Arabidopsis thaliana: one gene and its partner. The protein of the gene in region 2 interacts with the protein of the main gene of each other region in a pairwise test. Each region holds a gene or a part of one and is shown on either strand. Other genes may lie near its edges.

The links.
Region 1: the proteins of AT5G42910 (region 2) and AT3G11100 interact in binary tests that used the Arabidopsis thaliana proteins (3 or more experiments, as listed by UniProt).

The regions. Positions count from the first base shown.
Region 1 is NC_003074.8:3,475,519-3,480,027, forward strand, and holds AT3G11100 (sequence-specific DNA binding transcription factor), read right to left. Parts: upstream 2,383-4,509; 5' UTR 1,803-2,382; coding exon 1,067-1,802; intron 986-1,066; coding exon 972-985; 3' UTR 669-971; downstream 1-668. Other genes in the region: LBD21 (LOB domain-containing protein 21), read left to right, coding at 1-15; AT3G11110 (RING/U-box superfamily protein), read left to right, coding at 4,461-4,509.
Region 2 is NC_003076.8:17,201,862-17,206,086, reverse strand, and holds AT5G42910 (Basic-leucine zipper (bZIP) transcription factor family protein), read right to left. Parts: upstream 2,346-4,225; 5' UTR 2,180-2,345; coding exon 1,235-2,179; intron 1,142-1,234; coding exon 1,040-1,141; intron 942-1,039; coding exon 876-941; 3' UTR 707-875; downstream 1-706. Other genes in the region: AT5G42905 (Polynucleotidyl transferase, ribonuclease H-like superfamily protein), read left to right, coding at 3,764-4,225. UniProt on the Arabidopsis thaliana protein: Could participate in abscisic acid-regulated gene expression.

The DNA of each region.
Region 1 (4,509 bases), on a different chromosome or scaffold from region 2:
CCTCCTTTTGTATAGGCCTTATCTCTCTATCATATATCTCTTTATCAGCTGTATTTGCACTTTGCTTTACAAGTTATCTTTGACAATCTAAAGTCTGTCCCTAATGTATGAATTCCAGTATGCATAATCAGATGCTTACTTCATCATATGTATGAAAAAGGGTTTTAACTTCAAAAGTAACCATCACATGCGATGAGATAACTCAGGTACAAGATGAGCCTTGGAAGGTCAGAGTCCTTACCAGTTTTGGACCAAGTGGTAGGCCAAGGTGAGTAAAGTGAGGTGTTTTAGATGAAGAGCTTCTTTGTAAGTCAGGTATGAATAGGAGAGCACATGCTTATGTCATCCCGAAATTCTACCAAACATGAAACATTGATATATATGCTTCTATGATGTTCTTTTTTGAGGCTCCAATAATACAGCCTCATGTGTCAACTCGTCTCCCTCAGGCCACAAGAGTCTTGTCCTGGAGATTCCAGAGTGCAGCAAAGTCACATAAGCAAACATCCAAATCAATAGCTTGGTGGGTTTGATCAAATTCCAAACTGAATTATGAATGACTCTGATAAGAGTTCTCCTCAGAACCGTTCTACGCATCTTGTTAAGTCTGTACACATTCCTGAAACCTGCCTAAGCAAAAGAGTAATTGCAGATCACAGAAAGAGAGATGAGCACAATTTGGAACTGCAGACACTGATACACAAACCATCATACATTGATACTTCACAAAAGTACATCTTGATATGTCAGATACTATGAGAGTTCTTTTGGTAATTCGCATTGCTACTACCAATGTAACTCTACAATGCTAAAAAAGAGAATGAAAAAGAAGAAGAAGAAAAAAAGCATCGCGCTATAACTTAAGAAAACCTAAAGATCAATAATAATAACATCTTCTCCAAATCGTATGAGCTTTAGATCCAACCATTGCTCCTTGCTTCACATCAGTAACTCCTCCACAATCTACAATCCTACAACTTCTTACCTATACAACAAACAAAGCACAACTGAAGTTTCAGTAAACTCATCAATCACAACAAAACACACATAAAAATGAAAACTTTACCTGAAGCAGCTCTTCGTTTCCCAAGTTTAGATTTCTCAAGCTCCAATTGCATCTCCATCAACATATTCATTCGTTGTAACTCAAGCTCCTTTGCAACTTCCATTCTCTGTTTCTCCAATTCAATCATCATCTGTTGCTTCTTCCCCTCGATTCTCTCAAACGCTTCCCCTAACTTCAGAATCGATCTCGCTAGCTCCCTAAAGGCTGATCCTTCACTCGAATCTACATCTTCAACTTTACGATGCTTCCTCACCACAAATCCCCAATCACCCGCATCATCATCATCTTCTTCGTCGTCATCATCATCATCATCATCGTCATCGAGAGAGCTACCAGTTGATTTAGATCCAGTAGGATTCAAATTAGGGTTCATCAACGCCGATTTAACAACAGCACCGGACGATTTCTTCATAACCGGACCGATTAAGAAATCGAGTCTATCAAAGAAGCACCAATTCGATAAAGGTTTCGCCTTTTCAGTTTTGTACTTCTTCTTCAACGTATCGATCCGGTTTTTGCACTGTACATCGGTCTTTGGCCGGCCATTCCCGTGGCTTGAATTGACGGCGTCGGCGACTTCTTTCCAATCGTTTTGCCGGAGATTTCCCCGGTTGAGATTGACGTAACGATCTCCCCAAGCTTCGATCAATGTCGCCGTAGCGTCTTCGCTCCACCAATCCTCTCTTCCCGCCGGTAGACGGTGAGTCTTCGACTGAGTCTCCGGCGTCGTCTCCATCTCGGAGTGGGAAAGAGAGGAGGCTAACGTGCGCGGTGGAGAAAGAGGCTTAGGATAAGAATTTCTGTTGGATCGGATTTTTGGTAAAGTTAAAAGAGAAATTACGGTTAAAGGAGAGATTTTTGATTACCGGCGGTGACGTCAGCAACGGCGATTATCTTCTTTCTCCTACCTCTCTCTTTTTCCTCTGCTAACCGAATCAATCACACTCATTTCTGAAAAACCGGTTATCGAAAACGGTTATCGAAAACCGGTTTAATCATAAATTGAGAGTCCTACTAACTAGGCTACTACTAGTTATAGTCAATTTCAAGCTTCTTTTAATGCGTTTCTACGGGTAATGATGATAAGATTACATTATTAAACTCATAGACTGATTGATAATAACGATTAGGGCTAGAATCTCATCAGTTCATGTCATTATAGGAAATCTTATAACGTGTATTTTTGTGTATTCTAGGAAAGACAGTAAATATGAGGTTGTATTAGTTTTGGTAGTGGTTTTTAAAAGTCATAATTGGAAAGAAAGAAATGTTATCAGAATATTAAGAAAATTTATACGTTTTGTGTATTCCAGTAACAAGATCATTTACGTTACGCCGTAACAAATTGAAGTTTGGAAGTGAAAAATGGTGGGATGTAATTAAGGAAATAGGTAAGCAGGCGAATTGTTAGGTAATAAGAGAGAGCATCGCAAACGTGTTAGGTCGTAGACTCTATGTCTATAATGTATGTTTCGTGCCGTGTCTTGTCTAATTGTCTTTTTGCTGTCTCGCCAATTGATATGTTAGTCCATGCCTAACTACTACTGTTTCCTCATAACTACTAAAATGTCGCTGAAATATTTGAAAAAAGAGCTGAGGTGTTTTTTCTGTCGATCAAAGTTTCCACGATGGTCTTGGTGAAGAGCTAGTAGAAATAAGCATATAGTTAGTGATGTTAACTTGGGCATTGAATAGCCATTTGTTAAATGGGTATGTGCAAAAAAAAATAACCCATTTAAACCCATTTAGAGAAAAATATCAAATGGGGTTAAATGGGTTACCCCAATTAAACCTATTTAATAAATGGGTTTACCCACAAACAAATGGGTACCCATTTATGTTTTATTTTATATTAGTTATTTTTATTAAAAAGTAGATAACTTAATTATAACTAAAATAAAGAGCAAAATACTAAATATATTTAAAACAAAACGTAAAATCACGTTTTTCCGCTAAAACCCATAAAATTACGTTTTCCCACCAAAATCACGTTTTTTACCAAAATCGAAAATCACATTTTCCCACCAAAATCGTAAACCGACGTTTTTCCGCCAAAATCGTAAAATCACGTTTTCCCGCCAAAACTGTAAAATGACGTTTTCCCACCAAAATTGAAAATCACGTATTTTCGCCAAACCCGTAAAATCACGTTTACCCGCCAAAATCGTAAAATCACGTTTTCCCGCCAAAATCGTAAAATCACGTTTTCCCGCCAAAACCGTAAAATCACGTTTTCCCGCCAAAATCACAAAAAGTGTTTTCCGCCAAAACCGTAAAATCACGTATTTCCGCCAAAACCGTAAACGACATTTTCCCGTAAAACCGTAAAATCAAGTTTTCCCGCCAAAATCACAAAAAAAAATATTTTTTGCCAAATTTGAAAATATTATTATCATTATATGTTATTGAAATCTATATTTTAGTAAATTATAAATATTTCAGATTTAGCTAATGTTTATGGACTGTTGTTATTTATCTATTAAGTTTATGAATTAATTAATAAAAGGCAATATCTCACTTAATTGGTTTAAATGGGTTCACATGGATTTACTAAATTTAAATGGGTAGGGTTAAATGGGTTTCAAAAATAAATGGATTTATATGAGTTTAAAGTTAAATGGAGTGGGTTTAAATGGGATGGGTTTAATTGGGGTGGGTTAGCCCATATTAACATCACTACATATAGTTTTCTAAACTAAATATGTCATTATCATCATTTACTGGTTTACATGCATCTTTTATACATTTCAAACTTTCTTATGAAAACGCAGATGTGAAAAGATAAATCATGATTTACAGGTTATCAAAGTGATGTGAGTTGGAACGTAAAACAATTTAGTTTGTCAACTGAATCTTAGACGCAATCGATTATTGTTACTCTTAAATCACTTTACAATAATATCAAATATCACATCCTGCAGCCAAGTAATCGAGCTAATCCATGATCAAGTATAGGTGGTGAAGCAACTAAAAATGTAGCCAATTTCGTTTGTACGCATAATTAAACAATGCTATTTATTTTAGTATGTTGCTACTTGCCAGTTGCTACCATTGGGATCTCGAAAACACACAAACGTACGTGCATGTTGCCTAATATAGTCTTTATTATTGTTCCTAAACTAATTAAGACAAATTAAAACAATATATAAAGTAACAAAAAAAAATCCCACTTTCCTTCAAACTTGAGTCTTGCTTGTACAGACAGTTGTACTACTTGTGGAAGCTGTTTAACTCAAATTAATATTCTCTTTCTGTTATTTTATTTAAGGAAATACAATCACGTGACTGAGATTAGCACTAGTATACTATATATATACATCACGACGCTGTTTTTATACATACTATATATCAACGGCCAGAATTAAGTAAGTAACCATCCATCGCCAACCGGAAAATGACGTCATCTTCACCGTCTCCACAAGCCTCGATGCTTTTGTACTGGC
Region 2 (4,225 bases):
AAACTAGAAAAGTGAAAAAGGGCTCGTCACAGGTTTTGGAGAAAAAAAAAGGAATCAACTCGTAGACAACCGTTATTACAGGTTGCTACTGCAATCATTGACAAATGTTGTTCCTGCAATTGGAGGTAGTGAAGAAAACAAAACCAAATCAAATTGGATATTAGTTTATAACTTTCAAGTGATTATATAGTTTGATTTACTTTAACTTTTAGTTTTTTTGTCATCTTATTTAAGTACAATTACCAAGGAAATATGCAAGTTTGAATTACAAGAGCGGGCGGAAAATAAATACATCCCAAAAACTTAATCCAAAAGAAGGAAGCGAATCCCTAAATTACAGGAAAACTGTCAAACGTAAATTTTTACATATCAAAAAGACAAAGCAAAATCAAAGGCATGAACGAAGACCTAAGAGGAACCACGATTTGCTAAATTCACTCCCATGTCCCAGGAAGAACAAAGCCAACCACAAAAGACAGTGAAATTTTTCGTGTTTTGTTGCAAATGAATCAACACTGAATTTTTTTGATTTATTATAGGAGTTATTTTTGTATATTGCAAATGAATCAATAGTGAAAAAATTTAGCAGCAATTATTGAGCCTATAATATAATTTTATAGTTTTATGGTTGAGATTAGTATGACATTGTTTTCTAAAGCCAAAATAATAATATTTAATAGTAGTATTTTCTGGCTCCAATAAAAATAAGTTTTGGATTTTCCCCTAGACCATGAGAATTCGATCTTTAGGACATTATCAAATGGGTTTAAGAATAAGATGTCTAATAAATAGCTTATTTGGTCAAAAATATACGAAAACAAAACATGATGAACAAAATAAACTCATCATCATCCTCCAACTCGGGTTTCATTGATTCACTTGATGTCCGATTTCGTTCTCCTCAGCTTTCTCTCCGGTCGTTCATGAAGGCTAATCATTCCCTTCACGTATTATTTAGATATACAAAAAGTTAGAACAAGGTTCTCAAGTTTTTAATTGATGTACGGTTGAGGAAATAAGATTGGAATAAATAGATTACTGGTTCCATTTGTCTTTTCCGCAACTCTACATGTTGTTTTAGTAGCTCTTCATAATCTTTCTTTAAGTTTTCAAGTTCAACTTCAACCTCCATAGTTTGAGCCTAGAGAGCAAAAATGAGCAGTTTGGTACTTATAAAACACAATCAATCAAGATGGATAGATAATATATATATATATATATAACATTTTCTTACTTGCTTTCGAGCCCGTGATCTCGCTGCGGATTCTCGGTTCTTAATCTTTCTCCTAAGCTTTTTGTCAACGAATTGTTTTTCCGCGGTAATTTCACTATTAATCTTCCCACCTCTTGTACTAGTACTACCATTACTAATGTATGGAGATGGTGAGAGTAATGAAGACTCACCGTTAATCTTTTGTTTCCCATTTAATGTTGGAAATGGGGTAACCGGTGAACATGTTATGGCTTCACTTGGAATTGTCGCAACACTTGGGACCAAGCTTCTCTTCGTATCTTGGAGACTTTGGTTACCAGATCCCAAGGAACCATTTGAGAATCGGATTTGTTTTCCATAAGAATAACCATTTGGCATAGACATGATAGATTGTTGTGGTTGATATGTTGACATAGATCCATTCACATTTTGATGCAAATAAGAATCATGACTCCTTGGAACCATATTGTTCATAAAATCAGAAACCATGGCTTTTGGCTGAATCTGAACACCCAAACTAGTGTGTGGATTACCGGAAATCGATGACGATGAGTCATGAATGGAGCCACCATTGGTATTACCTCCTCTTGCTCCAGCACGGATGAAAAACTCTTCAAGAGTGATTTCCCCTAAGGTTTGTTGTCCCTGAAGATGAGTAATGTTTGTTACTCCTCCATTGTTATTGGTGTGTTTTTCCTCTGTGATAGATTTCCAAACTTCACCAACATTTTGTTTGCTAAGTGTTGGAGGCAGAGTAGTTGAGCCTTGCCTCTGCGACCCCTCTTGTGTTTCTTCAGCACTTGATATATGCTTAACCAACTCATCCATGTTCATTGATCCACAATCTAACCCTAAGCTGGTCTGAAACTGATCTACTGTCCATGAGTATATTGATCCTTGTCGGCTTAAAGAAGTACTAACTGGCAAATCATTCACCAAGTTTTTAAGTCTCCAGTAACTATCCATTTCACCTGACACAAATCCGAGTGATTAGTGGCCTTAGAAAACAGTTGTTGAAATGTAAGAGCTTTTGAGGTTAAAAATCATGCAAAACAGAGGAAAGGAGAAATTTTAAAACAGAGGGAGAGAGAAATGATCAAGAAAAATATTCATTTTGTTTCTCATAAGTTTTTTTTTTTTTTGGATTAAAAGTTTCTCATAAGTTTCAGTGAACCAAAAGAGTAATTGAATATATAAGAAAACTAATGTATGGCAATTAACCCAAAATAAAATAAAATAATAAATCTAAGCTGAGTTAAGCACATTATCCAAATGAAGTAAGAAAAATCTAGAATAAAAGGGATCTAATAAAACAACAATTTGTATAAATAAAAAACACTATATAAGGAGCAAATAATTTATTTTACCTTTCTCACTTAGTGTATCTATCTAGTAATTGAAAGTTAACTTTTTAAATATAAGAAAGATCTAGATGAGTTGATAATTTTAAATATATTTTTTTACATTTTTGTATAGATATTTTTCATAAGTATTTATTTATATTTAAATTAATTTAATTAAATAATAAAATTTTAAAATGATTAGATTATTAATAAAAATTACACAATGCTGTTGTAAACAACATGCATTATTGCATTATGTAGATTTGAACGTCGGTAACTATCCAAAGATAATATTTATAAAATTAGTAAATTGATATGATGTATTTCATGGTAATTAATCTACTGAATCAAAATCGCACCACACAAATGAATTCATGGAAAACTATCCTTTTGACTTGATAATAGGTTAGCGGGTGGTTCTCTTTTTAGAAATTTAGACCATGAATGGCTTTAATTTGTAACTTTAACTGATGTTTGGCTTTTGGTTTACATATTTTCTTGTTTTTTTTTTTGGAGTTTTTGTTAATGATACAATAACTAAGGAAAAGAAGATAAAAAGGGTGGACTATAGGTTTTTTATAGGTGGTGTTGCACGATAAAATATTTTAAATTTTTATAAAATTTACTAAAGAATTTGAACTCAAAATGATGTATATTATAAAATACTATGAAAAAATATAAAAACATAAGATTAAAATTATCTGCTAAAGGTGAAATCAAAGTTTATGACACAGAGACATGACTCTAATAGATTGAGACAACCTTGAAAATATGTTTTTAACCATAACTAATATAAGATACATTTACGAAGAATATGGTAAATGGACGTAACCCTCAAAAGCATTTAACGAGACTATATTAGCAGTAGAACAACATCATAGTGAAAGATGTGATCCTAATTGAAAACATATCGAATGAAGAGTTATAATGATTAAGAAAACGTTTGACAAAAAGTCAAAAAGAAAAGAAAAGAAGAGTTACAATGATTTTACGCAAATTTTCAGTTTTTTTTTTACAATGGTAAATAAAAAATTTATTCAACAACAAATTATGATAAAGAGACACAAGACTAAGAAGCATTTATTGAGATTGAGTTAAATCCATGGACATGTTTAACAAATAATCAAAAGTAATAGTTATATTTAGGAAAAATATATATAAATATAAGTATAAACAGAAAGTATATATAACCAAACTGGACATAGTTATGACAGATGAGGAACGGCATCGAAGACATCTTAGCGCCTCGAATGTGTCTCAGGTTTATATAGGTGGAGTTGAATCTGTGCTTCACGTGTTTAGAGACTGTCCAGCTCAATTGGGGATTTGGGTCAGATTTGTGCCGCGAAGGAGGCAGCAGGGGTTCTTTTCGAAATCTCTGTTTGAATGGCTCTATGATAACTTGTGTGATAGGAGTAGCTGTGAGGATATACCGTGGTCCACCATTTTTGCGGTGATAATATGGTGGGGGTGGAAGTGGAGATGCAGTAATATATTTGGGGAGAACACGAAATGCAGGGACCGTGTGAAATTTGTTAAAGAGTGGGTTGTGGAAGTGTATAGAGCACATTTGGGTAACGCTTTGGTTGGAAGTACGCAACCTAGAGTTGAACGGCTGATTGGTTGGGTGCTTCCATGTGTGGGTTGGGTGAAAGTAAACACAGATGGG